Linked DNA regions of Xenopus tropicalis. The protein of the gene in region 1 binds, or shares a complex with, the protein of each later gene. Links are inferred from orthologs where the notes say so. Each region holds a gene or a part of one and is shown on either strand. Other genes may lie near its edges. The genes, in order: eif3j, eif3g and eif3f.

Region 1 (10,517 bases):
GGAGCAACTGCCCAGGCCCTGCCCCGACAGACCAGATCCACCAGGGGCCAGGCCCATGCACAGCCGTCCTACTCCCCACCGGAAGACAATCCCGGGACACCCCTGGATGCCGCACCCCAAGACAGCCTGACATGTAAGAAAACAATAATAATATATATATATATATAATATAAAATTTTTGTGTGTATAAAAAAAAAAAAAAAAAAAAAAAACAGTGGGGGGGTGGGTTTGTGGAGAAAATTTTTCACTATTTTGTTTACTTAATATTTCATAATAAAGTAATTATAAAATACTTTCTTTGTGTTTATTTGATTCCTATTCAAGAGAATTACTTTATATATAGTCAATATAGGCACAGAGTTACATTTTTTAACATTTTCTAATGGTGGTGTGCCTCGTGATTTTTTTCATGAAACAAGTGTGCCTTTGCCCAAGAAAGGTTGAAAAACACTGCATTAGGACATATATTTATGTGTGTGTCTTGAGAAAGGTCCAAGATGGGGACCGAAACATAGGCCTGTTTTCTTTTTAAAGGAACAGTAACACCAAAAAATAAAAGAACTTGTAATGTAATAAAAATATAATGCACTGTTGCCCTGCACTGGTAAAATGTGTGTGTTTGCTACAGTAACACTACTATAATTTATATAATAAGCTGCTGTGTAGCCACGGGGGCAGCCATTCAAGCTGGAAAAAAGGAGAAAAGGCACAGGTTACATAGCAGATAACAGATAAGTTCTGTAGAATACAATAGTGTTTTAGCTATTATCTGCTATGTGCCTGTGCCTTTTCTCCTTTGAATGGCTGCCCCCATGGCTACACAGCAGCTTATTTATATAAATGATAGTAGACTTTCTGAAGTAAACACACAACTTTTACCAGTGCAGGGCAGCAGCACATTATATTTTAGTTACTTTTATACACTTTCATTTTTTGGTGTTACTGTTCCTTTAATGATGCTAATTAAAAGTTAAGTTTTTTCTTACTAAAAATACCTGGTGTGCATCTATATTTTTGATTTTGTGTATTGCTGAGCTTGGATAGTGTGCTTGAACTTTCAGACATTATTATATATAGTTTGACACATAAATAAAACCGACAAGTTTGTCCATGTGTATGTGTATAATGTGCTTAATGCTTCTGTGGCACTTCCCTGTCTGTGCCCTCCTAAAATTATAATTTGACAAAAATAAACACCATACACAGTCTCTAGAGCCAAAGAAACTTGAGCATCATCAGCATATCAGTCTCCTTATCAGAAAGCACTGTCTGCACAGACAATAGTGTGGCCTGTAGAGGCCAACTGCATAAGATAAGCCACTGCCAAATCTCAATGCACATCTGGGCAAGGCAGAACGGGGCAAAGGCTGCAGTGGGACTAAACAAGTTTAACTAAAGAATTAAAAATAAGGAGAGGCGGGAAAAAAATACAACATTTTAGGGATGTTGTACAAGGGTGAAAATTTGACCCAGATGACTTGCTTGTAAAACCCTCTTATAAGCAACACCTACATCTGTCCACAGAATCCATACTGGGGCACAATTACTAGCAGTACCATAGTAATTAGTATCCCAAGGCAATTTGACACCAATTAACTTTCAGCAGCCTACTAAAGATAGGTCTGCTTTAATTATGCTGATTGGTTGCTATGGGTTACTGCACTGGGGCAAATGTGTTAAGTGTAAGTAAATGAGCCCCACTTTATGCTATTAGCCAGCTAGGATGGAATTAATGGTGTCCCTGTGGGTTTTTTTTAATCCACACTAGAAAAAAAAACATTTTTGCAAAGTGACCAAAAAAATAGTCCTTACTTTATAATCCTCTTTATCTCTTTTCAAAGCTCTTCAGAAACTTAGATAACCCCCCCCTCCCATGACAGGGCGTGGACTGAAATAACTGGAGCACTGACAGGCAACTATTGCCACACACAGGCAGAACAGAAACACTAACAAACACCATAAGGTGGCTTCTAAACCTTGCAAAAATGTAATCACAGAAGTTATTGCCCGTACAAGGCAAATTCATTCATTCCTTCATTGTTTTCATGTTGCTCAGAACATGGGCTAAATCAGAGGTTGGCAAACTCTCAGTTAAAGGAACAGTCTGAAAATAAAGCTTGGTAAATACATAGGCTGTGCAAGATAAATGTTTCTATAACATAGTTAGCCAAAATGTAATCTATAAAGGCTAGAGTGGGTGGATGTCTTAATAGCCAGAACACTACTTTCCCCTTACACGGGCAATACTTTAGACCGATTCGGCAGCTTATCCGCCCATGTATGGGGCCTACCAGATCAATATCTGGCCGACAATTGGACTTAGGGGGCCAAATGATCAAATTAGCCCAATATCACCAACCTTAGGTATATTGGGCATATTGGGAGAAGATTCGCTTGTTTGGCATATGGCCAGCTTTGGTTTGTCAGTAACTTGAGGTGGGGGCCCACATGGGACAATACTGTTCAGTTAAGGTGGCCACACACGTGGCGACCATCGGTCGCATGAAACATCGTCAGATCCGCCACACACCGTCAGGGCTGAAACAGGAGATAAGGAGGTAGAAACAATAGGATTTCTACCTCCTTCTGCCAATTCAGCCCTGACTGCAGATTTTGGTCAGGTGCCTTCTATGGCGCCAGATCAAAACCTTTTAACCGGTCCGATCGGCGAGTCGACCGTTATCAGCAGCTTCCTGCGATATTGGTCGACTCGCCGACATGCCATACACGCACCGAATATCGCACGAAACGAGGTTTCGTACGATAGTATCGGTGCGTGTATGGCCAGCTTTAGTTTGCTTTTGATCCTGAGCACACAGGTCAGATACAAAAGCAAACAGTAATGTCTCATATTCACCACAAATCTTATTCTAACGGTGCAGCAACCTGTGATTTTAGTGTATCTAAGAGCAAATGGCCATTCTCCCCTCAACATAACTGCCCTTCAGGCTGATCTCCCCCCTTGCCACTACTTACAGTCCACCCTCAGAGAAGACAACCCGACAGTTTGGAAAACACAGGTTTAACCAAACAAACTTCTGATGCAGAGTTCTACAGTGATTTTAACCTAATTGCCTAAAAGCAGTTCCGGGAGCTTAGTTGCCAACTCTCTAAACTATTAAAATTTGATTTATTAGTTTGCTGCTATTTTTCAGGAGTAGCTTCAGCACTGAGTACGCTCTCCAACTTGACATTTTCTTATTCAGTCAATGATACAAAGTGATATACAGTCATACACCATGGTCTGTAAGTCAAAAGCTGCTGCTAGAGCAGAGTTGTAACCTATGGGTAGAGAACATGATATCTCCATGATAACGCTTAATAAGGCGGCTGCCATATTTAATAAGCTTGCTTAGAACAAACATTAACATATGTCAAATACAGACTTTATTCTTATTCAATACAATTTAATACAAATAAACACTGATGTGGCAAAATTCTGTCATACAATATGCACATAATAAGCCTCCTTTTTAGAAAGTGGTAAAATCTACTAAGCATACATGTACATCACCAACACAACCAAGCAAATGCAACCTAATGACATAATGAATGTTAATTACAGTACCTTAACATCCTCCTCCTCGTCCTCTCCCTCCCAACGATCTCTTCCTGCCGGTGGTGGGCCTGACACAGCACCCTTCTGATTTGAAACTTCTGGCTCAAAATCATCAGCATCTGTACATGGAGAGAAAAAAAATCAGGGACCAAAAATAAGAGACTAAGTCAAAACATTGCTGTGCCAGTATTAATCAAAGGCTCAGCTTTTAGCATTAAAATGGAAATTAACCACTTTTCCAAAATGGGTGTAATGGGCTGAACATTCTTTTTGCCTACTGTTTTAATCACAAAAAACTTTCCAAGCTAAACTCCATGTTTGGCCCCAGTGAAGTATATACAGTACTCAGATTCCCAGCACACAGATAATCCATGTGCACAATGAACAACTTTTTATCTGTGCACTGATAATTGCACTCGCAAGGACTAAAAATGGAGATGCATCAAATTCCCTGTTTGGCTCAAGAAAAAACAAAAACCTTAGACTTGTGCTTAATAGGCAAAAAGTATGTTAAGCACAAGCCCTATTCATTGCGCTCATGTTGTACAAAGGGGTATATACTGCACCTTTATGCAGAGGACAAAGGAAGAGGGTGTTTATAAAAGATAGACAAGAACAGACTAACTGCTGGCAACTTACCTCAGTGGCAAATTACTTAACTTCCATATGTAATATAAAGAATAAAGCTCACCCAGGTAAATTAACCCACAGAAACTAATACAATGTTTGCTTTTAAACAATAGGCCAGTAAATGCTACCTCTACTGGTTGGCTGGTTTTTGGTGATTAGACCTAAAAAACTTTGCTCCTTTTCATAACACACCCCATACAATCACATGGTATCTGGCAACAAAAACTTAAAAAGAGGGTCATAAAAAAAACATTGTCAGTTCAGAAGAAGCAGTATCCATGAACTAAACCCAAGGTCAGAATGTGAACCTGTAGCTGCTGCAAATGAATCTTGGCACCCCATCATGAGTGCTTTATGCGGCCCGAAACTAAGTACATAGTATTAATAATATTTGGATGGCATTGAGGCCACATCCTATCAGTAGGAGTGCGAAATATAATTACATCACAAGTACAGTTTAGCTTACTAGCACAAAATATGGTCAGAGTTATGAAGAATATCAGTATTTAACAGAAAGGTAATGGCTAGGCAAGGAGGTAAAATATAAAGAGGCCTCTATATTAAAAAAATATGCTAAATCAGGGTTAAAAGATACCTAAGCATGAATGCAACCCAACAAGCCCCAAAGATGAAAGGCGTCAAGTGAGGACAGGAATTTGGAAAACTACTATGTAGTAAAAAAAAAGAGAAAGAATAAGTCAAAGTGTGTAATATAATATCCATATTGTACTGGGCACCCTTACAGGGCAAAATGTGTTTCTTCTTGTAAGCAAGATAATGAGCAATATTGCGGCACAGAGAGCCCGGGGAGCCAGCTGCACTCAGTCACATTACTCACTGGCGGAGGGGACGGGGACACGACTGGGAGGGGACGGGGACACGACTGGGAGGGGACGGGGACACGACTGGGAGGGGACGGGGACACGACTGGGAGGGGACGGGGACACGACTGGGAGGGGACGGGGACACGACTGGGAGGGGACGGGGACACGACTGGGAGGGGACGGGGACACGACTGGGAGGGGGTGGCTATTAGGGAGAGGAGATAGAGGTAATGGAAGGAAAGTGAGTTGGATAAAACAGATGTAATGGAATGAAACAACTGGAGGCCAACTAGAGGCAAGGCACACAGGCCCAGCATAAGCAATGGGAATACAAAAGCCCCTGACTGAAAGGTTATTGCTTCAAAGAAAGTCTAATTGCCACTGAAGAGGCACAAATGACATGGCAATGTAAGATATATGGGGGGGGGGGGGGGTTATTTCTCTTCTCAACACACATCCAGCAGCCAATGGTGAAGCCCCTACACAGGGCCCAGTTAGGGGAGAGCCAATGCCTTACCCATTTGGGGCCTACCCTTAGTGAAGGTAGTGAGTGAGGGCCTAGCAGCCCAGCTGGCACACTGCCACTGAATAGGTGAGACAGAGCTGCACTTATATGAGCAACACCCATAGGGAACACGGGATAATGGAGCGCTTTGTGGCCTGTTCTGGTAGCGCTGCCTGTAGCAGCTGGAGACTCACCGAGCAGCCCAAGCTCCAGCCTGCGGGCAGCCCTGCCTCACCCCATATCATTGGCCTTCTGGCTGCCCACTACCGAGCCTATATGAGGCATAGGAGCAAAGGGCACATGTGCTGCCTTGTCCCTGGGTAACTCGGCTGTACTAAGCCTGCTGGGGAGCCAGTGGAGAAGGCCGGCGGGACAGAGGCAGCTGGGAGCCATGCTGAGAATAAGCAGCAGTACGGTTCGGCAGCCGAGATCCGGCAAATAGGGGAAAGGTTAGGCAGGGGCCGCGGAGGGACACACACTGACACAGGGGCCGCGGAGGGACACACACTGACACAGGGCCCGCGGAGGGACACACACTGACACAGGGCCCGCTCACACGAGGGCTGGCTGAGTGCGCTCCCCCACAGAATAGAGAAAGTACAGAAGAAGAGAGATACATATAAACACATAAAGCCAGGGCACCGCCACTAAAACTGGGCACTCAAGGAGAAAAAGAAGCGGCCTTGTGCCAGACAGAGCTTGAGCCCGTAACGCCGCTCCACATGCAGTTCAGTCTCACCCCAGCTGTCGTTCTCCGCCATTTTTCCCGCTGCCGCTCCGGCTCTGACTGACTCACCGCGTCTGAATGCGCACGCAGTGCAGCGAGTTCGGCTTAGACTTTCACCGGAAATGCGTCACAACTCCCTGCCTCCCTGCGCCATCTTGGTCCTCCCAGCGGGACCGACCTGATTCTAAAAACGAGGAATAAAAGAATTCCAGACTTTTCTCTTTCTCCTGGTTCTTTGCGCCGCAGAGCAGGAGACACGTGAGCAGGCGCCATTTTGGCTGTGGAACTCATTTCTGCAGAACACGTGACACCCATGCGTCTCTCTATTGGCTGCTGTACTAACTGCACTTACACGGTTGGATCGCTCCTTCGGTTTTGCTCAAGGCCGCTACGAGCTGGATCGGTCCAATGTCGTGCCTCTCCCATGTTGGGACATGAACGCATGGCAAGGCATTGGAACAGCATGTTTAGGGGTTTTGCACTCGGACTGCTGAGAAGGACCGGGATTTTTTTTTATTTTTGGACTATAAGTGCTACTGGGTTTCTTAGATTTTCTGCAGTCTAAAGGTTATAGTATAGAAGAGCCATGAATATTCTGTAAAATATATTCTTTTAAACAGGGATTATTGATGTTGGCAGCTACATTCTGTGTCTTGTGATGTAACCTCAAGTGATTCTACTAAAGCTGTGTATTGTAATAAATTGGGTAGCATCTGATGAAACTATGATATTAGATGTAATTTTGGAGTTCCATGACCATACACACAGGCAGCCTAGGGCAGGCAGAGTATGGCACACACAGGCAGCATAGGGCAGGCAGAGTATGGCCCACACAGGCAGCATAGGGCAGGCAGAGTATGGCACACACAGGCAGCATAGGGCAGGCAGAGTATGGCACACACAGGCAGCCTAGGGCAGGCAGAGTATGGCACACACAGGCAGCCTAGGGCAGGCAGAGTATGGCACACACAGGCAGCCTAGGGCAGGCAGAGTATGGCACACACAGGCAGCCTAGGGCAGGCAGAGTATGGCACACACAGGCAGCATAGGGCAGGCAGAGTATGGCACACACAGGCAGCATAGGGCAGGCAGAGTATGGCACACACAGGCAGCCTAGGGCAGGCAGAGTATGGCACACACAGGCAGCCTAGGGCAGGCAGAGTATGGCACACACAGGCAGCCTAGGGCAGGCAGAGTATGGCACACACAGGCAGCATAGGGCAGGCAGAGTATGGCACACACAGGCAGCCTAGGGCAGGCAGAGTATGGCACACACAGGCAGCCTAGGGCAGGCAGAGTATGGCACACACAGGCAGCCTAGGGCAGGCAGAGTATGGCACACACAGGCAGCCTAGGGCAGGCAGAGTATGGCACACACAGGCAGCATAGGGCAGGGAGGGTATGGCACACACAGGCAGCATAGGGCAGGCAGAGTATGGCACACACAGGCAGCATAGGGCAGGCAGAGTATGGCACACACAGGCAGCATAGGGCAGGCAGAGTATGGCACACACAGGCAGCCTAGGGCAGGCAGAGTATGGCACACACAGGCAGCATAGGGCAGGCAGAGTATGGCACACACAGGCAGCATAGGGCAGGCAGAGTATGGCACACACAGGCAGCCTAGGGCAGGCAGAGTATGGCACACACAGGCAGCCTAGGGCAGGCAGAGTATGGCACACACAGGCAGCATAGGGCAGGCAGAGTATGGCACACACAGGCAGCCTAGGGCAGGCAGAGTATGGCACACACAGGCAGCCTAGGGCAGGCAGAGTATGGCACACACAGGCAGCATAGGGCAGGCAGAGTATGGCACACACAGGCAGCATAGGGCAGGCAGAGTATGGCACACACAGGCAGCCTAGGGCAGGCAGAGTATGGCACACACAGGCAGCCTAGGGCAGGCAGAGTATGGCACACACAGGCAGCCTAGGGCAGGCAGAGTATGGCACACACAGGCAGCCTAGGGCAGGCAGAGTATGGCACACACAGGCAGCATAGGGCAGGGAGGGTATGGCACACACAGGCAGCATAGGGCAGGCAGAGTATGGCACACACAGGCAGCATAGGGCAGGCAGAGTATGGCACACACAGGCAGCATAGGGCAGGCAGAGTATGGCACACACAGGCAGCCTAGGGCAGGCAGAGTATGGCACACACAAGCAGCTTAGGGCAGGCAGAGTATGGCACACACAGGCAGCCTAGGGCAGGCAGAGTATGGCACACACAGGCAGCCTAGGGCAGGCAGAGTATGGCACACACAGGCAGCCTAGGGCAGGCAGAGTATGGCACACACAGGCAGCGTAGGGCAGGCAGAGTATGGCACACACAGGCAGGGTAGGGCAGGCAGAGTATGGCACACACAGGCAGCATAGGGCAGACAGAGTATGGCACACACAGGCAGCATAGGGCAGGCAGAGTATGGCACACACAGGCAGCATAGGGCAGGCAGAGTATGGCACACACAGGCAGCATAGGGCAGACAGAGTATGGCACACACAGGCAGCATAGGGCAGGCAGAGTATGGCACACACAGGCAGCATAGGGCAGGCAGAGTATGGCACACACAGGCAGCATAGGGCAGGCAGAGTATGGCACACACAGGCAGCCTAGGGCAGGCAGAGTATGGCACACACAGGCAGCCTAGGGCAGGCAGAGTATGGCACACACAGGCAGCCTAGGGCAGGCAGAGTATGGCACACACAGGCAGCGTAGGGCAGGCAGAGTATGGCACACACAGGCAGGGTAGGGCAGGCAGAGTATGGCACACACAGGCAGCATAGGGCAGACAGAGTATGGCACACACAGGCAGCATAGGGCAGGCAGAGTATGGCACACACAGGCAGCATAGGGCAGGCAGAGTATGGCACACACAGGCAGCATAGGGCAGACAGAGTATGGCACACACAGGCAGCATAGGGCAGGCAGAGTATGGCACACACAGGCAGCATAGGGCAGGCAGAGTATGGCACACACAGGCAGCATAGGACAGGCAGCATAGGGCAGACAGAGTATGGCACACACAGGCAGCCTAGGGCAGGCAGAGTATGGCACACACAGGCAGCCTAGGGCAGGCAGAGTATGGCACACACAGGCAGCCTAGGGCAGGCAGAGTATGGCACACACAGGCAGCCTAGGGCAGGCAGAGTATGGCACACACAGGCAGCCTAGGGCAGGCAGAGTATGGCACACACAGGCAGCATAGGGCAGGCAGAGTATAGCACACAGGCATTATAAGGTAGGCAGAATATTACACACACAGGCAGTATACAGGTGCAAACAATACAGGGGTTTACAGCCTGAATTTGAAGTGTGAATAATGCACGGGGGGCAGTTTATCTCAGTACTGATACCATAAATCTTACAGAAAGGTAAGCAGTCACAGCAGCCAGACATGTGGGGGGCACACAAGGCTGAACGTAGACAGCCCTGAGCTAAAATATAATGGTGGTGAACCCTCCCCGTGTGTCATAGCCCTAAAGCATAAGCTTAACACTGTGTCTCACCCATTATGGTGAGTTTTATGGAGGAACCAGCTAGTCATATATTTGTATGTTTTTGACAAACCCCTTGCATATAGTGTTGTAAGGTCAATGTAGAAATCATCTTCACTTCCAATCTATAACATCACAAGGGATCTAAAAGCCAAATCAGTTGTCACACCCACATTAAGTGCAGCAGGTATGTAAGGTAACACCAGCGGTATAGTGCACAAGTTTCAGAACTGAATGTTATTATGAACTCAGAGCTTAGCAAATCAAAACTAAGGGGCAGATTTATCAACATACTGATTTTAGTGGTTTTAGAGTTTTTTTTTTTGAAACTACGAATAAACTTATTTCCACAAAAACCACAAATGTCTAGTCATTTGTTAAAAGATCCAAATAAAAAAAGCACAGACAAATGAACATGAAAACAACAAATCTTTCATGGTTTTCACATTTTTCCTGGAATCTTCCTAAACTTATGAGTGGAAAAAAAACGAAATAAATCACAAAAAACTGAATAAATCACAAAAGATTTGTGTTTTTTATACAAAAAAAATGAGTTTTAGAGCAAAAAAACACAAATTGTGAAGAAACAGGAAAGTTAGTAAATGCCCCTTGAGTCTCTTATATAAATGGTAATACAATACCATACGCTTATTCTTACAGATGCTTGCAACTGCATGCCAATTGTACTATGAACTATATTATTATTACTACTACAACTAATATTAGTAATAATATTTTTCTTCCATGTTCACACTGGCTAACCCAGCGCACTATGGGC
Region 2 (10,417 bases), about 19 Mb from region 1:
CAGAGGAAAGGAGGTTGTCGTTCAGGATTTCACGATACATGGCTCCGTCCATTTTCCCGTTAATGCGAATAAGTTGTCCTGTGCCCTTAGCAGAAAAACACCCCCAAAGCAAAATGTTTCCACCCCCATGCTTGACGGTGGGGACGGTGTTTTGGGGGTCATAGGCAGCATTTTTCTTCCTCCAAACACAGCAAGTTGAGTTAATGCCAAAGAGCTCTATTTTGGTCTCATCAGACCACAGCGCCTTCTCCCAGTCACTCACAGAATCATTCAGGTGTTCATTGGCAAACTTCAGACGGGCCTGCACATGTGCCTTCTTGAGCAGGGGGACCTTGCGAGCCCTGCAGGATTTTAATCCATTGCGGTGTAATGTGTTTCCAATGGTTTTCTTGGTGACTGTGGTCCCTGCTAATTTGAGGTCATTAACTAGCTCCTCCCATGTAGTTCTAGGGTGCTTTTTCACCTTTCTCAGAATCATTGACACCCCACGAGGTGAGATCTTGCGTGGAGCCCCAGAGCGAGGTCGATTGATGGTCATTTTGTGCTCCTTCCATTTTCGAACAATCGCACCAACAGTTGTCACCTTCTCTCCCAGCTTCTTGCGAATGGTTTTGTAGCCCATTCCAGCCTTGTGCAGGTCTACAATTTTGTCTCTGACATCCTTGGACAGCTCTTTGGTCTTTCCCATGTTGGAGAGTTTGGAGTCTGCTTGATTGATTGATTCTGTGGACAGGTGTCTTTTATACAGGTGACTAGTTAAGACAGGTGTCCTTAATGAGGTTGACTAATTGAGTAGAAGTGTCTAACCACTCTGTGGGAGCCAGAACTCTTAATGGTTGGTAGGGGTTCAAAAACTTATTTCACTCAATGAAATGCAAATCAGTTGCTATCTTTTATTTAAAGTTATTTTTTCGATTTTCCTTTTGATGTGCTATCTGCCACTGTTAAAATAAACCTACCATTGAAATGATACTGTTCTGAGACTTTTCACTTACAAAATCAGTGAGGGGTCAAATAATTATTTCCTCCACTGTACATTGGGAGAGAAAGTAGGAAGATAACAAATAGGGCAGACAAAAAGGGAGAGCAGGAGAAGGCAGTATCAGTGCAGGTACTGGTGGGTTTTCTTAGCTTTATATTAATATCCACCAGTACCCAGTTGTGTGGCAATTAGATTTGTTTGTTGGGGGAAGGAACTGATCATGGTCAGTGGGGCCTGCTTTAGTACTGGAGTATACCTGGTAGATCCTAGTCTGGTTGGGTTTTTCTGCAGCACAGAGCTTTAACTCTTTGCTACCTTTTTCAGGTTGTACTTTTCATTTATTTCATTTCAAAATGAAAAATGGGAGGTTGTCTGGGAATGCTATAACCTCCGTTAATTTAGGCAGTGGGGTCAGGAAGAAGACAGAAGGTCAAATGTGTTGTTATAGATAAGCAGGAGAATCCATGGAGGCTGTTACTTGTGCAGAATTGGCTGAGTGGAAATGGCAAACCAATAGCTAAGGCATTAGGTAGGAAATATCAGCCCAAAGCAGCCGTAATCTGTGCCATAAACAGCCCAGGGACAGAGCAGTTTGGAGAGGAACGCAGCTTGTATCGTGTCACAGCCTTCTCTCTTGTGGTTTCTGTTAATGCAACTGTAGACTAAGAAGTGTTAACATAGTTGTGGCTTCAAGGACGTGGTTAAATGGGTTATAGTCAATGCTGGATTCCATTACCGACGCTTAGGCTAGAAAAATTACGTCCCTCAGTACCAAAGAAGTAGGGCAGCACTGCTGTAAATCACCATTCAATCAGTTTCAGCCCCTGAGGAAGGTGCCTTTTCTGCCTACCCCTAGTGCCAGCCCTGTAGTAAAGCAGCCCATATGTGAACAGATTGGGTAAGGCAGCACTGCTGATTTCCTAGCCATATGGACTCGTATGGGGCAGGTTCAGGGGTCCTGTGTACAGTTACATATATTATCTGCTAATGCACCATGTGACTGGGCACATGTTGGATTGGCAGATGAGGGGGGTAAAAAAGAGCAATGCCTCTTTACTCCCTACCATTTATATATTGTGTGCCAGTTGTACCATATCCATTCACTCAGCCTGCATACTGATTGGCTGGATACGGTAAAGGGTTGCTTAGTGTATGGCGGGCCTCCAGTACATCCTCAGGCCGGCTGCCTCCAGAGCTCTGCAAGCAGCTAGTGACACCCTGTGACTGTATGTACAACTCAGATAAGGCGGGTGGGGGTCTGTAATGTGCAAGGAACCTTAGTCAGACAATCAAGTTAGTATTTCTTACAAGATGCTATGGCTGCTGCCATTTGATTAGGTGCCTGGGGGGCTATTTTATGTCTTGCTGTACTGTACTTGAGTGGGAAAGCATAGTTACATAAATGTGGAACATAAAAATGAAAATTGTTATAGTTTGACCTTTTGAAAAGGTTATTTAGCAGAGTTGTTCATGGGCCAGTGATGAGTGTGTGTGTATATGTGTGTATATTTATATAGAATACACAATTTATTGTATAGATTATATTGCTATATTTCAACGTTATTAAGCTGTTTATCAACTAACAAAATTCATTATCTAACAGCGCCACCTGCAGGTCAGTTATTCCAACTGCAGCCTAACTGCTTTGAAATGTAAAAAAAAAGAGAATGTAAATTGCAGAAGTGCTTAGAAGGTTTACATACTTTAATTATAAAAGCCACTAAATTCTAAGTTGCGTATCTGTAAAGTTTTACTTATATTTCTAAACTCACTTTTTCTAGCTTAGAACAAAGCGCATTGCTGTAGGGGAGGAGCCTAGCATTGTTTTTGAAATCTACAGTTTCTCTCTAGTTGAATTGCCTGTGCACACATGTACAGTAACACCGTATTGCTCTTTATTAATAAACCTTTCTATTTCTTTGCAGATTGTTCGCACTTTTAAAATAGAAACACTCAAAGCATCCAAAGTTGTTGCTCATAGGAAGGTGAGAGGACAGGGGTGTCTGTAGAGAAAGGGTTAAATTGGAACATGCCAGCTGTTGGGATATGGGATAAGCCATATACTGTTGTTTGTGTTCTCTTGGGAAGCAATGGGACCTAAATAGATAACTTAGAATATAATAATGTTGAAGAGATCATCATCTTCCTTTTGTGTTTTACTTTCCAGAATTGGAAAAAATTTGGCAATTCAGAATATGATCCTCCTGGTCCAAATGTGGCCACCACCACAGTCAGCGACGATGTCCTGATGACATTTATCACCAGCAAAGAGGTCAGTATTGATCATTCCTTAATATGGATATCTGGTTCATCTTATGTGAATTTATTTTTTTTGTTCCTACTTCCCCTTTGTTCCAAACATGGATTCCATGGGCACTATTGCAATACAAACCTTCAGGTGTGCAAACTGCACCATCAGTACTCAGTATATACACATACACAATTGCAATATAAAAAGTGTATGGAATATTTGCATTCTGTACCCTCTTTGCCCCCTAAAAGAGGTTAACACACCTTCTTCTAGTAAACAGCTGTAACAGTCTGGATCTTTTCTCACTGCAGGATCTGAATAACCAAGAAGAAGAGGATCCAATGAATAAACTGAAGGGCCAAAAGATTGTATCTTGTCGAATCTGTAAGGGTGACCATTGGACCACAAGGTGCCCCTACAAGGACACACTGGGTCCCATGCAGAAAGAACTGGCTGAGCAGCTGGGATTGTCCACAGGAGACAAGGAGAAGGCACCAGGGGCAGGTAAGAGCCAACTTAGCTGCCCAGTTTGCATCCAGCCCCTAAGTGTACTCTGTATATCCTGTGGCAGTACCGTACTGTGTGTGTTTGTGTGCCACATTTGTGCTATGCATGTGTTGATTATTACTATTCACAACTGTGAAGAAAACCCTTCAAAATTCAATGAGATTTGCCACCATGACCTAGCCTTAATAGAACTCTATTGCATTATTTGATAGGCTGGACAGCCCATTGCCTTTATACAGTATGTTTAACCTGTATCCAATTTGTTGTCATTCTAGAGCCGGAGCCAGCCCAGGCACCTGTTAGCAAGACTGGAAAATATGTTCCCCCCAGCCTGAGAGACGGAGGAAGCAGGAGAGGGGAGTCTATGCAGCCTAATCGCAGAGGTATGATGATCACGTGGTGGTGAATACATAGCCCATAGTCAGTGCATGCTGTGACTGCGCTTCATTTGTTTTATTACCCAATATACACAACCATAAGGGTCTTTATTCCCTACTGCAGCAGCATGGACAGTGGCAGTTCATTCTTGTTCATAGTTTTGTGAATTCTTGTGCATACTGGGCCAGTAACACATTGTTTACCCAGTAAAATGATCCTGTAAACTGTAAACACACTAGGGGGTATGTTAGCTACTTATTGCCCATGAAAGCCCATTGCTACCTGGCTGATGGCAGGGAAAGTACCTGATGTACTTACATGCAGTTATAACTCTAACATACAGATGGCACTCTTGTAAAAAAAAAAAAAAAAAAAAAAATCCCATTTCAGCATATCTTGTATATAAAGCCAGTTTGTAGGACAAAGCAAGGCACTGCTGGCACTAGGCAGGTTGTTATAGACACAACATTGGCTTTGTCCACTTATAACCTGCTATTGGTAATAATATCACCTGGGGCCACTAATGAAGGAGCCGGGGGTGTTGGGACAAAGTTGCTATTGAAAAATGCTGCAAGTGTGTCACTCTGATGTATCACCCCATAGTTTGTACTGTCTCTGAATTTTATGATCTCCCACCTTTTCTCTGCAGCCGACGACAATGCCACAATCCGCGTCACAAACTTATCCGAAGACACACGGGAGACTGATCTCCAGGAGCTCTTTAGACCATTCGGATCGATTTCTCGAATCTACTTGGCCAAAGACAAGACCACCGGGCAGTCAAAGGTACAAACTGTTGCTGAGTGTTCTGATTGGCTCATCCTTGTTACTCTGTGGCTGGCCAGTCGGTGTTAGATGCCCTGTGCCTGCTGGGCTTTAAAATGAACACAGACTAGTGCTGGGCGGTATACCGGTATAAACCGAACACCGTTTTTTTTTTTAAAAAACTATATACATTTTTAACTTACCGGCATACCGGTGTGCGCGCCTCCTGGCAATTTTTCTTACTATTTCCGGGTTGTGCGCGCTGACGTCACGCGCGCAACCCGGAAATAGTAAGAAAAATTGCCAGGAGGCTCTACAAAAGCGCCGTCGCTAGGACGCATACCAATGTGAGCTGTCGGGGGTGCCTGCGGCTGCCTGGCAAGTCATTTATATTTATGTGAAGGGGTTGGGTGTTTGGGGTGGGGGGGGGGGGTGTTTGGGGTGGTCACCTAATCATGCATGGGGAAAAAAAAAATACCGTCAAATACCGTGATACCGATAAAATTTTGAAAAATACTGTGATATAAATTTTTGGTCATACCGCCCAGCACTAACACAGACACCATTAAATATGATCTTATGGGACAGCTGTCTTTTTTAACCATGTATTTATTATTAAAATAATGTCATGCATAAAGGTGGGAGAGTTAGGGAGCCATAACTATGTAAAGGAGAAATAAAGCTTAACTAAAGGAATAGGCTAGAAATGTTGTACATTATGTTTTGAGCTTCTGTACCAGCCTAAGGCAACCCCAGCCCTTTAGCAGGGAAGATCTGTGCCCCCAGTAGCCCCCAACCTCTTTTCTGCTGATTCCCTGCCCATACTCTAGCATATAAAATCTGGCATTTCTTGCCATATTCATTTTTAGGGTTTAGTTCTCCTTTAAGGGTTTCATCTGTCTCTACCTGTGCGTACATCCTGTTTTTAAGCAGAGGACTTTGTTTTTCCGTGAGTGTTTATCTGCTGATTCAGACGCAGATGTATATTCTCGGTTGTCTGAAAAGGGGAACATTGTGATTAAAAAAAAAGCCACCAAACGACAGTGGCTGTTACTTATCTGTTGAACCAAGAGAACTATTTGTAGCCTAGGTTTGTATTGCTACTGAGCCTTCCTCATCCTTTGTTTCTAGTCTGAGTTCTAGCAGAAGTTTTTGATTTATTTGTGGGGTAATTATTTTGGTTGGTGGAGCATGTGTCGGCCATTGCCAGGGAATGCTTGAGATCTGGAGGCTGGGCACCTAGGGGTTTATTAGGCTGTGCTTGGAGCTAAAGGGACACCCCTCCCCACTAATCCTTCATTTCTTTGTGATTTTTTCCCCCTCAGGGTTTTGCCTTCATCAGTTTCCACCGCCGAGAGGATGCAGCTCGCGCCATCGCAGGAGTCTCGGGCTTTGGCTATGATCATCTTATTCTCAATGTGGAATGGGCCAAGTATGTATACGCTGACTGCCTCCACTCCACTCTCATAGCTGGACTGTTTGCTCCAGTTCTTGTAACCCATAGGAGCTACCTTGAAAGCAAATACCTAATTGGTTGCTATGGGTTTCAAGACCTGAAGTAAATCTGAGCCTGGCTGTTATAACATTTTCCCATATGCTCCTGTTTATTGTATGAGGCTGAGGAGCCTTATTGTGAGTTCTTTGCTACCTGAAATAAGTTCATTCTGCTCCGTGGGCAAGGACTGATATGGCAGAAAAGCATCATGGGAAGTCCATGGGGTCGTCTGTGCGCATATTCCCCAAATTCTACCAGCCGTCTGCCAGACTAGACTATGAGGAACTGTCCCTACTCTATAGGAACTTCTTGTTTGCTGTCGCTCTGAGCTGATTTATTTTGCTTTTTCTCTTTTTCAGGCCCTCGACCAACTGATGGGAAGCAGCTTCCTGTGCGGCAGAGAAAGATGATTTTATAGTCTTGTGTTAGATTGCAGAGCAAATAAAAGAACTGAAAAGGCGATTGAGTCTGGTCTATTTTTACTCCTGGAATCTGTTCTGCTTTCTTTATTCATTTGTGTATTTTATTTTATACAATAGAAACATTAAAGGAGAACTTTGGGGTGAGACAAAGCTTTGACTAAATAACAAAATGGACACTGATTCCCTGCACATACTCTGTTCTGCTGTCACTTACCTGAGCTTAGGGGCCCGCTCACACTATACTGTATATACAGAATATAAATGGCACAATATAACCTGAGCTTAGGGACCCGCTCACACTATACTGTATATACAGAATATAAATGGCACAATATAACCTGAGCTTAGGGACCCGCTCACACTATACTGTATATACAGAATATAAATGGCACAATATAACCTGAGCTTAGGGGCCCGCTCACACTATACTGTATATACAGAATATAAATGGCACAATATAACCTGAGCTTAGGGACCCGCTCACACTATACTGTATATACAGAATATAAATGGCACAATATAACCTGAGCTTAGGGACCCGCTCACACTATACTGTATATACAGAATATAAATGGCACAATATAACCTGAGCTTAGGGACCCGCTCACACTATACTGTATATACAGAATATAAATGGCACAATATAACCTGAGCTTAGGGGCCCGCTCACACTATACTGTATATACAGAATATAAATGGCACAATATAACCTGAGCTTAGGGGCCCACTCACACTATACTGTATATACAGAATATAAATGGCACAATATAACCTGAGCTTAGGGGCCCACTCACACTATACTGTATATACAGGATATAAATGGCACAATATAACCTGAGCTTAGGGGCCCACTCACACTATACTGTATATACAGAATATAAATGGCACAATATAACCTGAGCTTAGGGACCCGCTCACACTATACTGTATATACAGAATATAAATGGCACAGTATAACCTGAGCTTAGGGGCCCACTCACACTATACTGTATATACAGAATATAAATGGCACAATATTACCTGAGCTTAGGGGCCCGCTCACACTATACTGTATATACAGAATATAAATGGCACAATATTACCTGAGCTTAGGGGCCCACGCACACTATACTGTATATATAGAAACTAAAAGGAATGATTATTCCAGATTCACACCATGATAGCTAGGAACCAGTGCATTCTGCACCAGCATCAGCTTCTAATGTTTTTATGATTTCTGACGACCCCTAAGCTTAGCTTCCCAACAGTAGCCCAGAGCCCCTGAGCAGCTTCCCTAAAACGGCTGAGCTTTTAGATACGAGATTAGGATCATTACTGTTCTAGAGCTGCTGAACCTTAGGCTGGTACGGTAAGCTCAGTACATAAAATAGAGCATTTCTAGCATTATTCTTTATTTTTCCTTTAATTTTCTTGTGCATAGTGGAGTCCAAGGTTTGTTAAGAATTTTTGTTCCCTTTCTGTTTATTTTATGCTGGTATCATATGCATTCCTTATTGTCTATATTTAGGTTATTTAAAGTTTCATGGCATCTGTTGGTGCAGGATGGGGTTCTGGATTAAGAGAGGGTCCATTGTGTATTATTAAAGCCTAAAGCAGTGATCCCCATCCAGTGGCTCAGGAGAAACATGTTCCTCCCGATGTTGCTCCCAGTGGCCTCAAAGCAGGTGATTATTTGTGAATTCCTGGCTTGGAGGCAAGTTTTGGTTGAATAAAAACCAGGGCTACTGCCAAACAGAGTCTCCTATAGGCTGCCAGCCCATATAGGGGCTCCCAGTCCCAGCCAATCACAGCCCTTACATGGTACCCACAGGTAAATCTGTTGCTCCCCATCTCCCTATACATATGGTGAGGTTCACGGGTAAAACAAGGTTGGGGACCCCAGGACTAAAGGCATAAGGGGAAGGAGGGGGGGAATTTTGCCCCTTACAGACACATCTGTTTTCACTGTTCTTATGTACAAGTTCCAGCATGTTCCGCATTGCTGTGCAAATAAAAGCTGAGCAGTGCTGCTTGTTGGAAGCTATAAAGTGAGACAGACCTGTAAAGCTGCCCATGAATGCCCAGAGTTGGCCGCTTTCAACTATTCTGCCTGACCATCTGGGCCTATACAGCCAGTCGGGGGTCCCTGCAGACCAATCACCCTGCAAGCCAGCTGGATGGAGGAATATAGGCTATGATGGAAAGTTTCTGTTGGTTGGCCGAATGGAAGTGAGGAGGAGCCATAGCTTTGCTCCTCCTCTTTGACTTGTTGTGACCATATTGGAGGTGGGTCCAAATAAAAAAGGAGGTCATAGAGAATTTACATTTACAAAGAATTAACATTTTTTGCAACGTTTTTTAGCAGCTTTGCAAATTATAACGTGAAACGGGACAGATTTGTTCATCACTAGTCAGGAGCAGCCAGTGGGGCTCATTTATAAACTTTGGTTGCTATTGGCGACAGCACTTGTGCAGTTAAGGACCTGTATGTGCCAGTTACATATAATGATCTGCACAGCTTCTAAAAGCCACTACAGACTGTGGGGCATATTTATTACAGTATATTATTAGTGTGTAATCTTTGCTTTTGTTTTCTAACTTGACCGTTCCGATCTAATTGCTGTTTGGTTGCTATGGGCAACATCGCCGGTGATGTTGGCTGACACTCTATAATAAATAAGCCCCTGTATATACATAGAGGGTATAGAGCAGGGATCCCCAACCTTTTATACCTGTGAGCCACATTCAAATGGGAAAAGGTGTTGGGGAACAACGCAAGCATGAAAATGGTTCCTGATGGTGCTAATAAGAGCAGTAAGTGGCTATTTAATAGCCTCTATGTGTACTGGCAGCCAACAGGGGGCTCTGTTTGGCATTATACTGAGTTTTTATTCAACCAAAACCTGCCCCCAAGCCAAGAATTTAAAAATAATCACCTACTTTGAGGCCACTGGGAGCAACACCCAAGGGGTTGGGGAGCAATATGTTCCTCCTGAGCCACTGGTTGGGGATCCCTGGTATAGAGCATATTCTGTCTGCAAACTACTCCTAATGTAACCAGCAGTGCTAAAGTAATTTGCCTTAAATAGTCAAATATGACTTTCCAGACCCCCCCCCCCCCCCATCCCTGTTAGAGATACATTGGTTGGAATATTCGCCGTATGGCAACGCTCACGCTGCTGACAGTATTTACTATTCCTACACGCAATGCAGGGGGGGCTCATACTGAGCCAGAAGATATTATCCCTTTTTGTGTTGCTGCTTTGTCAATAAAGGAAAGATCAAACAATGAAACATAAATAGTTTACTATTCCGGCCCAGCAGCTTTGTGGTGAAGATTGTCCTTTTCAATTGGTCTCCATTTTTTCCTGTTTTTATAGTTTTTTTAATGATTTCCCTGACCCTGGCAGCCAAAACCTATTGCTCCATGAGGTTTAGTGTTACTTTTAGTTGCTTTTATTTCTATTCAGGCCTTTGCTGTTCATATTGCAAATTTCATGAACATACCCCCACTGAATGCGGTACCCCCATTGTGTTCCATTATATTTATCTTTGTCAAAAATACTTTGCTTCTGGACTATTCAAGCTTTGCAAATGAACCAACTCTAAGGGGAGCAGTAACCCTGAAAATGTGGTGC
Region 3 (10,517 bases), on another chromosome or scaffold:
TATACTCTCATATCTCTCTCTTAATAGCCCCCCTATCCGTATACTCTCATATATATCTCTCTTAATAGCCCCCCCTATCCGTATACTCTCATATATCTCTCTTAATAGCCCCCCCTATCCGTATACTCTCATATCTCTCTCTTAATAGCCCCCCTATCCGTATACTCTCATATATCTCTCTCTTAATAGCCCCCCTATCTGTATACTCTCATATCTCTCTTAATAGCCCCCCTATCCGTATACTCTCATATATCTGTCTCTTAATAGCCCCCCTATCCGTATACTCTCATATATCTGTCTCTTAATAGCCCCCCTATCCGTATACTCTCATATATATCTCTCTTAATAGCCCCCCTATCTGTATACTCTCATATCTCTCTCTTAATAGCCCCCCTATCCGTATACTCTCATATATCTCTCTCTTAATAGCCCCCCTATCTGTATACTCTCATATCTCTCTCTTAATAGCCCCCCTATCCGTATACTCTCATATCTCTCTCTTAATAGCCCCCCTATCCGTATACTCTCATATATCTGTCTCTTAATAGCCCCCCTATCCGTATACTCTCATATCTCTCTCTTAATAGCCCCCCTATCCGTATACTCATATATCTCTCTCTTAATAGCCCCCCTATCTGTATACTCTCATATCTCTCTCAATAGCCCCCCTATCTGTATACTCTCATATCTCTCTCTTAATAGCCCCCCCTATCCGTATACTCTCATCTCTCTCTTAATAGCCCCCCTATCTGTATACTCTCATATCTCTCTCTTAATAGCCCCCCTATCCGTATACTCTCATATCTCTCTCTTAATAGCCCCCCTATCCGTATACTCTCATATCTCTCTCTTAATAGCCCCCCTATCCGTATACTCTCATATATCTCTCTCTTAATAGCCCCCCTATCCGTATACTCTCATATATCTGTCTCTTAATAGCCCCCCTATCCGTATACTCTCATATCTCTCTCTTAATAGCCCCCCTATCCGTATACTCATATATCTCTCTCTTAATAGCCCCCCTATCTGTATACTCTCATATCTCTCTCTTAATAGCCCCCCCTATCCGTATACTCTCATCTCTCTCTTAATAGCCCCCCTATCTGTATACTCTCATATCTCTCTCTTAATAGCCCCCCTATCCGTATACTCTCATATCTCTCTCTTAATAGCCCCCCTATCCGTATACTCTCATATCTCTCTCTTAATAGCCCCCCTATCCGTATACTCTCATATCTCTCTCTTAATAGCCCCCCTATCCATATACTGATATATCTCTCTCTTAATAGCCCCCCCTATCTGTATACTCTCATATCTCTCTCAATAGCCCCCCTATCTGTATACTCTCATATCTCTCTCTTAATAGCCCCCCTATCCGTATACTCTCATCTCTCTCTTAATAGCCCCCCTATCCGTATACTCTCATATCTCTCTCTTAATAGCCCCCCCTATCCGTATACTCTCATCTCTCTCTTAATAGCCCCCTATCCGTATACTCTCATATCTCTCTCTTAATAGCCCCCCTATCCGTATACTCTCATATCTCTCTCTTAATAGCCCCCCATCCGTATACTCTCATATCTCTCTCTTAATAGCCCCCCCTATCCGTATACTCTCATCTCTCTCTTAATAGCCCCCCTATCCGTATACTCTCATATCTCTCTCTTAATAGCCCCCCTATCCGTATACTCTCATATCTCTCTCTTAATAGCCCCCCTATCCGTATACTCTCATATCTCTCTCTTAATAGCCCCCCCTATCCGTATACTCTCATCTCTCTCTTAATAGCCCCCCTATCTGTATACTCTCATATCTCTCTCTTAATAGCCCCCCCTATCCGTATACTCTCATCTCTCTCTTAATAGCCCCCCTATCCGTATACTCTCATATCTCTCTCTTAATAGCCCCCCTATCCGTATACTCTCATATCTCTCTCTTAATAGCCCCCCTATCCGTATACTCTCATATCTCTCTCTTAATAGCCCCCCTATCCGTATACTCTCATATATCTCTCTCTTAATAGCCCCCCTATGTGCCCCATCTGTATACTCTCATATATCTCTCTCTTAATAGCCCCCCTATCCGTATACTCTCATATATCTGTCTCTTAATAGCCCCCCTATCCGTATACTCTCATATCTCTCTCTTAATAGCCCCCCTATCCGTATACTCATATATCTCTCTCTTAATAGCCCCCCTATCTGTATACTCTCATATCTCTCTCAATAGCCCCCCTATCTGTATACTCTCATATCTCTCTCTTAATAGCCCCCCCTATCCGTATACTCTCATATCTCTCTTAATAGCCCCCCTATCCGTATACTCTCATATCTCTCTCTCTTAATAGCCCCCCTATGTGCCCCATCTGTATACTCTCATATATCTCTCTCTTAATAGCCCCCCTATCTGTATACTCTCATATATCTCTCTCTTAATAGCCCCCCTATGAGCCCCTATCCGTATAGTGGAGTGCTCTCCCAGCCTTGGCTATATACCTACATACTACATACAGTTTTTGGGGTGTTCCTAACCTTACCGAGTCTGTATTTGATTCACACTGACCTGGGAGGTAACATTATGGGGGCTGGGAGGTACATAATTCCCACAATCATTTGGGCCCCCCCACTGCATGCCCGATGTTGTCTGGCAACATAAAATGCAATGATATCCCTCTGCTGCCATCTAGTGGCTAAACTGTGCAGCACTCAGCTGGGGTCATATACATGCAGCTGGCTGAAAAAGCTAATCACTAATTGGTTGCTATGGGTTACTACCCATGGGCAAGTGTTGATTAGCGAGCCCCAGTGTCTTATTAAGGGAAAACACATGAAAAGAAATGGTACCTATGAGGAAGATGAACCCTGAGGAGGAAGCTGCTTGAATAATCTGCTGCCCAGTTACCCCCAGCGCACATACACATAATGGTTAGAGAAATAAATAGAATGAAGTGGTTTTTCTAATTTATTTATTAATCCACAAAATACACTTTGGTGACTGTGCTGCCAGGGAATGCAATTACCCCCCCTGCTGGACAGATGCTGTAACATAATGAGATATCGGGGGCTCCGTACGGGGAGGGGACAGAATAGATGTTCTTGCTGCAGCCCACCCAGCCCTTTAATCCCCTGTGAATATAATTTAATAGGAACAGTCTCAATCCCCCAGAATGCACCTCTATTGGGCGTCGAATGTGCGTCGGTCGGTCAAGTCCAAGTAAAAACACGGGTCGGAGCCGGTTACAGGTTGAGGAGCTTCTCATTCAGGGCGATCTGGGACTGGGTCAGGTTGGCCAGGTAAGTGACCATCAGAAGATCCTGGGAACGGAACACAAAGAACAATAAGAACCCCAATACCCCAACAGTCTGTATAACGGAGCCTGCAGTGCATTGTGGGTGTCGGGCCCGACCCACTTACATTAATGTTGCTGTTCAACATGGCCTCAAAGTCTTCTGGGTCGATCTTAGGAACCTGGGTGACCAGATCCATCAGGAAGCGCCCGACTGTGTTGTCTGCCGTCACCTTCCCCGACTTCCGAGAGAGAGAGACAGGGGTTAAGGGTGAACGGGGAGTAAGAACCAATCAGAGGGGGTGATGGGAGCTGCACTCACCAGTACATCCTCGGCATACTGCAGTACCGTGCTGAGGGAATCCTGCAGTCTGTTAGCCGCCACCCCCACCTGCTGCAGGTCAGTGGTCAGGCCAATGGAGCGGTTGGGATTGGCGCAGGTCTTGGTGATCAGATCCACTGTGAGGAGACAGACGGGATTATATATACATGCTGTAGGGCATCGCGGGCATGAAAGCTACAAACCCTACAGGCTTGGAACCCCGGCTGCCACTAGAGGCGCCAGAGGGCTCGCAGGTACCAGGCACTCACCTCCTATCCGCTCTGTGTCATAGTAGACATACTGCACGGTGAGAGGGGTGAACATGACGCCCATGGTTTTGCCGGGAACGCCCATCGGGGAGCTGTGGGAAAGAGCAGGAGAGGCATTCAGCCAATGGAACGTCCCATACGCTTGTTGGGAGGGAGGTTGGCGCCCCCGTACCTGATATAGGCCTTTATGTTCATACGGTTCCCCTGCAGGCTGGTATCCACCGTCATGTGAATGGGATTGGTGGCCTCGCGGCTGTAGTACTCATGGATCAGAACAGAGTGCTCGGTGATGTCATTTCCTGTGGCGTACCTGCAACGTATCAGAACACACACGGCTCAGGGGACAGGAAGTGCCACACACACACTGGGCTCGGGGGGAACGGGAAGCGCCACACACACACTGGGCTCGGGGGGAACGGGAAGCGCCACACACACACTGGGCTCGGGGGGAACGGGAAGCGCCACACACACACTGGGCTCGGGGGGAACGGGAAGCGCCACACACACTGGGCTCGGGGGGAACGGGAAGCGCCACACACACTGGGGTAGGGGGGACGGGAAGCGCCACACACACACACACTGGGGCAGGGGGGGACGGGAAGCGCCACACACCACACTGGGGCAGGGGGGGGACGGGAAGCGCCACACACACACACTGCGCTCAGGGGGGGACGGGAAGCGCCACACACACACACACACACACACTGGGCTCAGGGGGGGACGGGAAGCGCCACACACACACACTGGGCTCAGGGGGAACGGGAAGCGCCCCACACACACACTGGGCTCAGGGGGGACGGGAAGCGCCCCACACACACACTGGGCTCAGGGGGGACGGGAAGCGCCACACACACTGGGCTCAGGGGGGACGGGAAGCGCCACACACACTGGGCTCAGGGGGGACGGGAAGCGCCACACACACTGGGCTCAGGGGGGACGGGAGGCGCCACACACACTGGGCTCAGGGGGGACGGGAGGCGCCACACACACTGGGGCAGGGGGGGACGGGAGGCGCCACACACACTGGGGCAGGGGGGGACGGGAGGCGCCACACACACTGGGGCAGGGGGGGACGGGAGGCGCCACACACACTGGGGCAGGGGGGACGGGAGGCGCCACACACACTGGGGCAGGGGGGGGACGGGAGGCGCCACACACACTGGGGCAGGGGGGGACGGGAGGCGCCACACACACTGGGGCAGGGGGGGACGGGAGGCGCCACACACACTGGGGCAGGGGGGGACGGGAGGCGCCACACACACTGGGGCAGGGGGGGACGGGAGGCGCCACACACACTGGGGCAGGGGGGGACGGGAGGCGCCACACACACTGGGGCAGGGGGGACGGGAGGCGCCACACACACTGGGGCAGGGGGGGACGGGAGGCGCCACACACACTGGGGCAGGGGGGGGACGGGAGGCGCCACACACACTGGGGCAGGGGGGGATGGGAAGTACCACTTACCAGCCCACAATCTGCTCAGTGGAGGTAACTTTCTTATGCAGCTCGTACATGTTCTTGGCAAACTCCATGTCGACAGCCACCTGGGGTAATTACAGAGGGCATGAAATACTGAGCAGGGCAACACTACACAGGGTAGGAATGGGGTGTGCGGGCCCGACACAACTCTCACCCTACCCTGCCCTCCCCCGAGTATGTATATCTGAGACTCCCCTGGGTGTAATCGGGGGAAGGGAGGGGGGCAGTGGGGATTGGGTCTGGGTTGGTGGGCCCATCAGGCTTTTCCCCCAGTGTCCCGCTGGCCCAGACCAACCCCCACACTACTCAGGCTACAGCAAGTGATTCAGGGGAAACTCCCCCAATACTCCCCAATATACACGTACATTTCCCAAATGTTATTAAATATAGTTTCTATGGATTCCCCGCACTGCTGCTACTGACTGCCAACACATTATAGCCCAAGGCAGCCAATTACCAGCCAGCTACATTGGTTCAGGAGTCAGAGCCCGGACTCGGTAGGAGACACCTACACACCCAATAACGGTCTGAACCCCAAACTGAAGCCATAGGGCCGCTGTATGTGCCCAGTGGGGGGGGGGGCAGCACCCACCTGAATAAACACCCCCACATATTATTATTAATGGTACAAACCTCATCCTCAGACTCATTGTGCGGGACGGAGAAGCAGTTGGTCACCTCCACTGAGTGTTTGTCTGTCGTCCCTGTAATCACACAACAACCAATGGTTACATCTCAGTACTGAATACAGCTCTTGTCACAACGAACCCTTTTTGTCCCACTGCGGCTCCCGTCACTTATACCCCCCCACGGTAACCAGGGCCCCCCCTTACCCAAAAGGGTGCCAATAACCCGCCCGGCTCCTTCGTTTCTCCTCTCATAACTGTCCACGATGGAGGCTAAGACCACCGGATGGACCTTCACTACCGGACCGTGCAGCATGGCTGATCCCGCCGCGGATAGAGAGCCGGCAGCCGCCATCTTAACTAGGGCAGACGCGCAAGAGGGGGGATCATGGGCGGGGCTTCAGTGAGTCACAAAACGCCGCATTCCGATTGGACCACATACAGGAAGTGCTTGCACGTACGCCGGGAACGTCGACGCTAGGCGCGTCGCTTTGTTCCTGATTGGCGCTTACGGAGGGACGCCTTCGAGGCGCAATGCTTTACTGTGATTGGTCATAAAGCAGTCCATCAAAAATAATATTGCTGCGATTGGCTGTACGCCTCCCAATGTTCTTATATACAGGGAGTTCTGGTGTTTAATGTTTATGTGGAGCTGCCCAGGTCTCTATCTATCTCAGTATTAACCATTAGGTGGACGTTTCCAGTTCAGGTTTCTGAAAAACACATTTATATATAAATATTGGTATATATTTAGTATATACCTCTGCCATAGGGGAGGGAAGCTCCTCACAAGCCAAATAAATATAATTGTTTAATCAACTGTGGGTAATTTATTAAAACTTCAATAAAAAATATTGTCTAATTCAAGTTTATTGATCACAAAAATAAAGGGAAACTTGAATTGACCCCCCCCCCCAACCCAAACAAAGCAGCATTTTGGAAAGATACAGAATAATAAGGCTAATAATGTCGAATAAAAAAAGACCAATTGTCAGGCTGCTTCGTACAGGACCTTTTAGAACACACTAAACGATTAGGAATCTGGAGTATCAGAAACAACCAATCAGTGAGTGTCCTGTATCTCTGGGGGGGGTTTAAGGGTTAAGGAACCTTCATCCCTGTTTGGGAAGAGTAGGGAGTTGTGAAATGTTCTATACATAGAGCCAAATACAGAACTAACAGGGTTTATATACAGCCCGACCCACTGAGTGCCTTCTGCTTCTGCCGGCATGGCGGCTCTGATCCTGGTCATTATTGGTAAGAGCCATATTATTCTTATATTCCTTATCTCTTCAGACAGAATGCTCTGTTATACAGATAGCTAGAATCTCAGCCATAAAGCAGGGCAGGACTGCTGCTTACAATGGGGGGATCAGATAGGATCTGTGCCACTGTGACAGAATGCTCTGTTATACAGATAGCTAGAATCTCAGCCATAAAGCAGGGCAGGACTGCTGCTTACAATGGGGGGATCAGATAGGATCTGTGCCACTGTGACAGAATGCTCTGTTATACAGATAGCTAGAATCTCAGCCATAAAGCAGGGCAGGACTGCTGCTTACAATGGGGGGGGATCAGATAGGATCTGTGCCACTGTGACAGAATGCTCTGTTATACAGATAGCTAGAATCTCAGCCATAAAGCAGGGCAGGACTGCTGCTTACAATGGGGGGATCAGATAGGATCTGTGCCACTGTGACAGAATGCTCTGTTATACAGATAGCTAGAATCTCAGCCATAAAGCAGGGCAGGACTGCTGCTTACAATGGGGGGATCAGATAGGATCTGTGCCACTGTGACAGAATGCTCTGTTATACAGATAGCTAGAATCTCAGCCATAAAGCAGGGCAGGACTGCTGCTTACAATGGGGGGATCAGATAGGATCTGTGCCACTGTGACAGAATGCTCTGTTATACAGATAGCTAGAATCTCAGCCATAAAGCAGGGCAGGACTGCTGCTTACAATGGGGGATCAGATAGGATCTGTGCCACTGTGACAGAATGCTCTGTTATACAGATAGCTAGAATCTCAGCCATAAAGCAGGGCAGGACTGCTGCTTACAATGGGGGGGGATCAGATAGGATCTGTGCCACTGTGACAGAATGCTCTGTTATACAGATAGCTAGAATCTCAGCCATAAAGCAGGGCAGGACTGCTGCTTACAATGGGGGGATCAGATAGGATCTGTGCCACTGTGACAGAATGCTCTGTTATACAGATAGCTAGAATCTCAGCCATAAAGCAGGGCAGGACTGCTGCTTACAATGGGGGGATCAGATAGGATCTGTGCCACTGTGACAGAATGCTCTGTTATACAGATAGCTAGAATCTCAGCCATAAAGCAGGGCAGGACTGCTGCTTACAATGGGGGATCAGATAGGATCTGTGCCACTGTGACAGAATGCTCTGTTATACAGATAGCTAGAATCTCAGCCATAAAGCAGGGCAGGACTGCTGCTTACAATGGGGGGGATCAGATAGGATCTGTGCCACTGTGACAGAATGCTCTGTTATACAGATAGCTAGAATCTCAGCCATAAAGCAGGGCAGGACTGCTGCTTACAATGGGGGGGATCAGATAGGATCTGTGCCACTGTGACAGAATGCTCTGTTATACAGATAGCTAGAATCTCAGCCATAAAGCAGGACAGGACTGCTGCTTACAATGGGGGGATCAGATAGGATCTGTGCCACTGTGACAGAATGCTCTGTTATACAGATAGCTAGAATCTCAGCCATAAAGCAGGGCAGGACTGCTGCTTACAATGGGGGGGATCAGATAGGATCTGTGCCACTGTGACAGAATGCTCTGTTATACAGATAGCTAGAATCTCAGCCATAAAGCAGGGCAGGACTGCTGCTTACAATGGGGGGATCAGATAGGATCTGTGCCACTGTGACAGAATGCTCTGTTATACAGATAGCTAGAATCTCAGCCATAAAGCAGGGCAGGACTGCTGCTTACAATGGGGGGATCAGATAGGATCTGTGCCACTGTGACAGAATGCTCTGTTATACAGATAGCTAGAATCTCAGCCATAAAGCAGGGCAGGACTGCTGCTTACAATGGGGGGGATCAGATAGGATCTGTGCCACTGTGACAGAATGCTCTGTTATACAGATAGCTAGAATCTCAGCCATAAAGCAGGGCAGGACTGCTGCTTACAATGGGGGGGATCAGATAGGATCTGTGCCACTGTGACAGAATGCTCTGTTATACAGATAGCTAGAATCTCAGCCATAAAGCAGGGCAGGACTGCTGCTTACAATGGGGGGGATCAGATAGGATCTGTGCCACTGTGACAGAATGCTCTGTTATACAGATAGCTAGAATCTCAGCCATAAAGCAGGGCAGGGCTGCTGCTTACAATGGGGGATCAGATAGGATCTGTGCCACTGTGACAGAATGCTCTGTTATACAGATAGCTAGAATCTCAGCCATAAAGCAGGGCAGGACTGCTGCTTACAATGGGGGGATCAGATAGGATCTGTGCCACTGTGACAGAATGCTCTGTTATACAGATAGCTAGAATCTCAGCCATAAAGCAGGGCAGGACTGCTGCTTACAATGGGGGGGATCAGATAGGATCTGTGCCACTGTGACAGAATGCTCTGTTATACAGATAGCTAGAATCTCAGCCATAAAGCAGGGCAGGGCTGCTGCTTACAATGGGGGATCAGATAGGATCTGTGCCACTGTGACAGAATGCTCTGTTATACAGATAGCTAGAATCTCAGCCATAAAGCAGGGCAGGACTGCTGCTTACAATGGGGGGGATCAGATAGGATCTGTGCCACTGTGACAGAATGCTCTGTTATACAGATAGCTAGAATCTCAGCCATAAAGCAGGGCAGGACTGCTGCTTACAATGGGGGGGATCAGATAGGATCTGTGCCACTGTGACAGAATGCTCTGTTATACAGATAGCTAGAATCTCAGCCATAAAGCAGGGCAGGACTGCTGCTTACAATGGGGGGGATCAGATAGGATCTGTGCCACTGTGACAGAATGCTCTGTTATACAGATAGCTAGAATCTCAGCCATAAAGCAGGGCAGGACTGCTGCTTACAATGGGGGGATCAGATAGGATCTGTGCCACTGTGACAGAATGCTCTGTTATACAGATAGCTAGAATCTCAGCCATAAAGCAGGGCAGGACTGCTGCTTACAATGGGGGGATCAGATAGGATCTGTGCCACTGTGACAGAATGCTCTGTTATACAGATAGCTAGAATCTCAGCCATAAAGCAGGGCAGGACTGCTGCTTACAATGGGGGGGATCAGATAGGATCTGTGCCACTGTGACAGAATGCTCTGTTATACAGATAGCTAGAATCTCAGCCATAAAGCAGGGCAGGACTGCTGCTTACAATGGGGGGGATCAGATAGGGTCTGTGCCACTGTGACAGAATGCTCTGTTATACAGATAGCTAGAATCTCAGCCATAAAGCAGGGCAGGACTGCTGCTTACAATGGGGGGATCAGATAGGATCTGTGCCACTGTGACAGAATGCTCTGTTATACAGATAGCT

What was found.
Region 2: eif3j (region 1) and eif3g share a complex: the UniProt entries of both Homo sapiens proteins name them as parts of the eukaryotic translation initiation factor 3 (eIF-3) complex. The link is inferred for Xenopus tropicalis from reciprocal best matches to the Homo sapiens genes EIF3J and EIF3G.
Region 3: eif3j (region 1) and eif3f share a complex: the UniProt entries of both Homo sapiens proteins name them as parts of the eukaryotic translation initiation factor 3 (eIF-3) complex. The link is inferred for Xenopus tropicalis from reciprocal best matches to the Homo sapiens genes EIF3J and EIF3F.

The regions. Positions count from the first base shown.
Region 1 is NC_030679.2:118,210,419-118,220,935, forward strand, and holds the start of eif3j (eukaryotic translation initiation factor 3 subunit J), read right to left. Parts: upstream 6,342-10,517; 5' UTR 6,280-6,341; coding exon 6,258-6,279; intron 3,679-6,257; coding exon 3,569-3,678; intron 1-3,568. UniProt on the Homo sapiens protein: Component of the eukaryotic translation initiation factor 3 (eIF-3) complex, which is required for several steps in the initiation of protein synthesis.
Region 2 is NC_030679.2:137,087,248-137,097,664, reverse strand, and holds the end of eif3g (eukaryotic translation initiation factor 3 subunit G), read left to right. Parts: intron 1-2,907; coding exon 2,908-2,967; intron 2,968-3,149; coding exon 3,150-3,254; intron 3,255-3,544; coding exon 3,545-3,737; intron 3,738-4,015; coding exon 4,016-4,123; intron 4,124-4,767; coding exon 4,768-4,904; intron 4,905-6,208; coding exon 6,209-6,315; intron 6,316-6,737; coding exon 6,738-6,753; 3' UTR 6,754-6,838; downstream 6,839-10,417. UniProt on the Homo sapiens protein: RNA-binding component of the eukaryotic translation initiation factor 3 (eIF-3) complex, which is required for several steps in the initiation of protein synthesis.
Region 3 is NC_030684.2:141,316,136-141,326,652, reverse strand, and holds eif3f (eukaryotic translation initiation factor 3 subunit F), read right to left. Parts: upstream 6,348-10,517; 5' UTR 6,338-6,347; coding exon 6,190-6,337; intron 6,061-6,189; coding exon 5,990-6,060; intron 5,422-5,989; coding exon 5,342-5,421; intron 4,188-5,341; coding exon 4,050-4,187; intron 3,970-4,049; coding exon 3,878-3,969; intron 3,746-3,877; coding exon 3,609-3,745; intron 3,529-3,608; coding exon 3,415-3,528; intron 3,315-3,414; coding exon 3,237-3,314; 3' UTR 2,949-3,236; downstream 1-2,948. Other genes in the region: fcrlb (Fc receptor-like B), read left to right, coding at 7,212-7,239. UniProt on the Homo sapiens protein: Component of the eukaryotic translation initiation factor 3 (eIF-3) complex, which is required for several steps in the initiation of protein synthesis.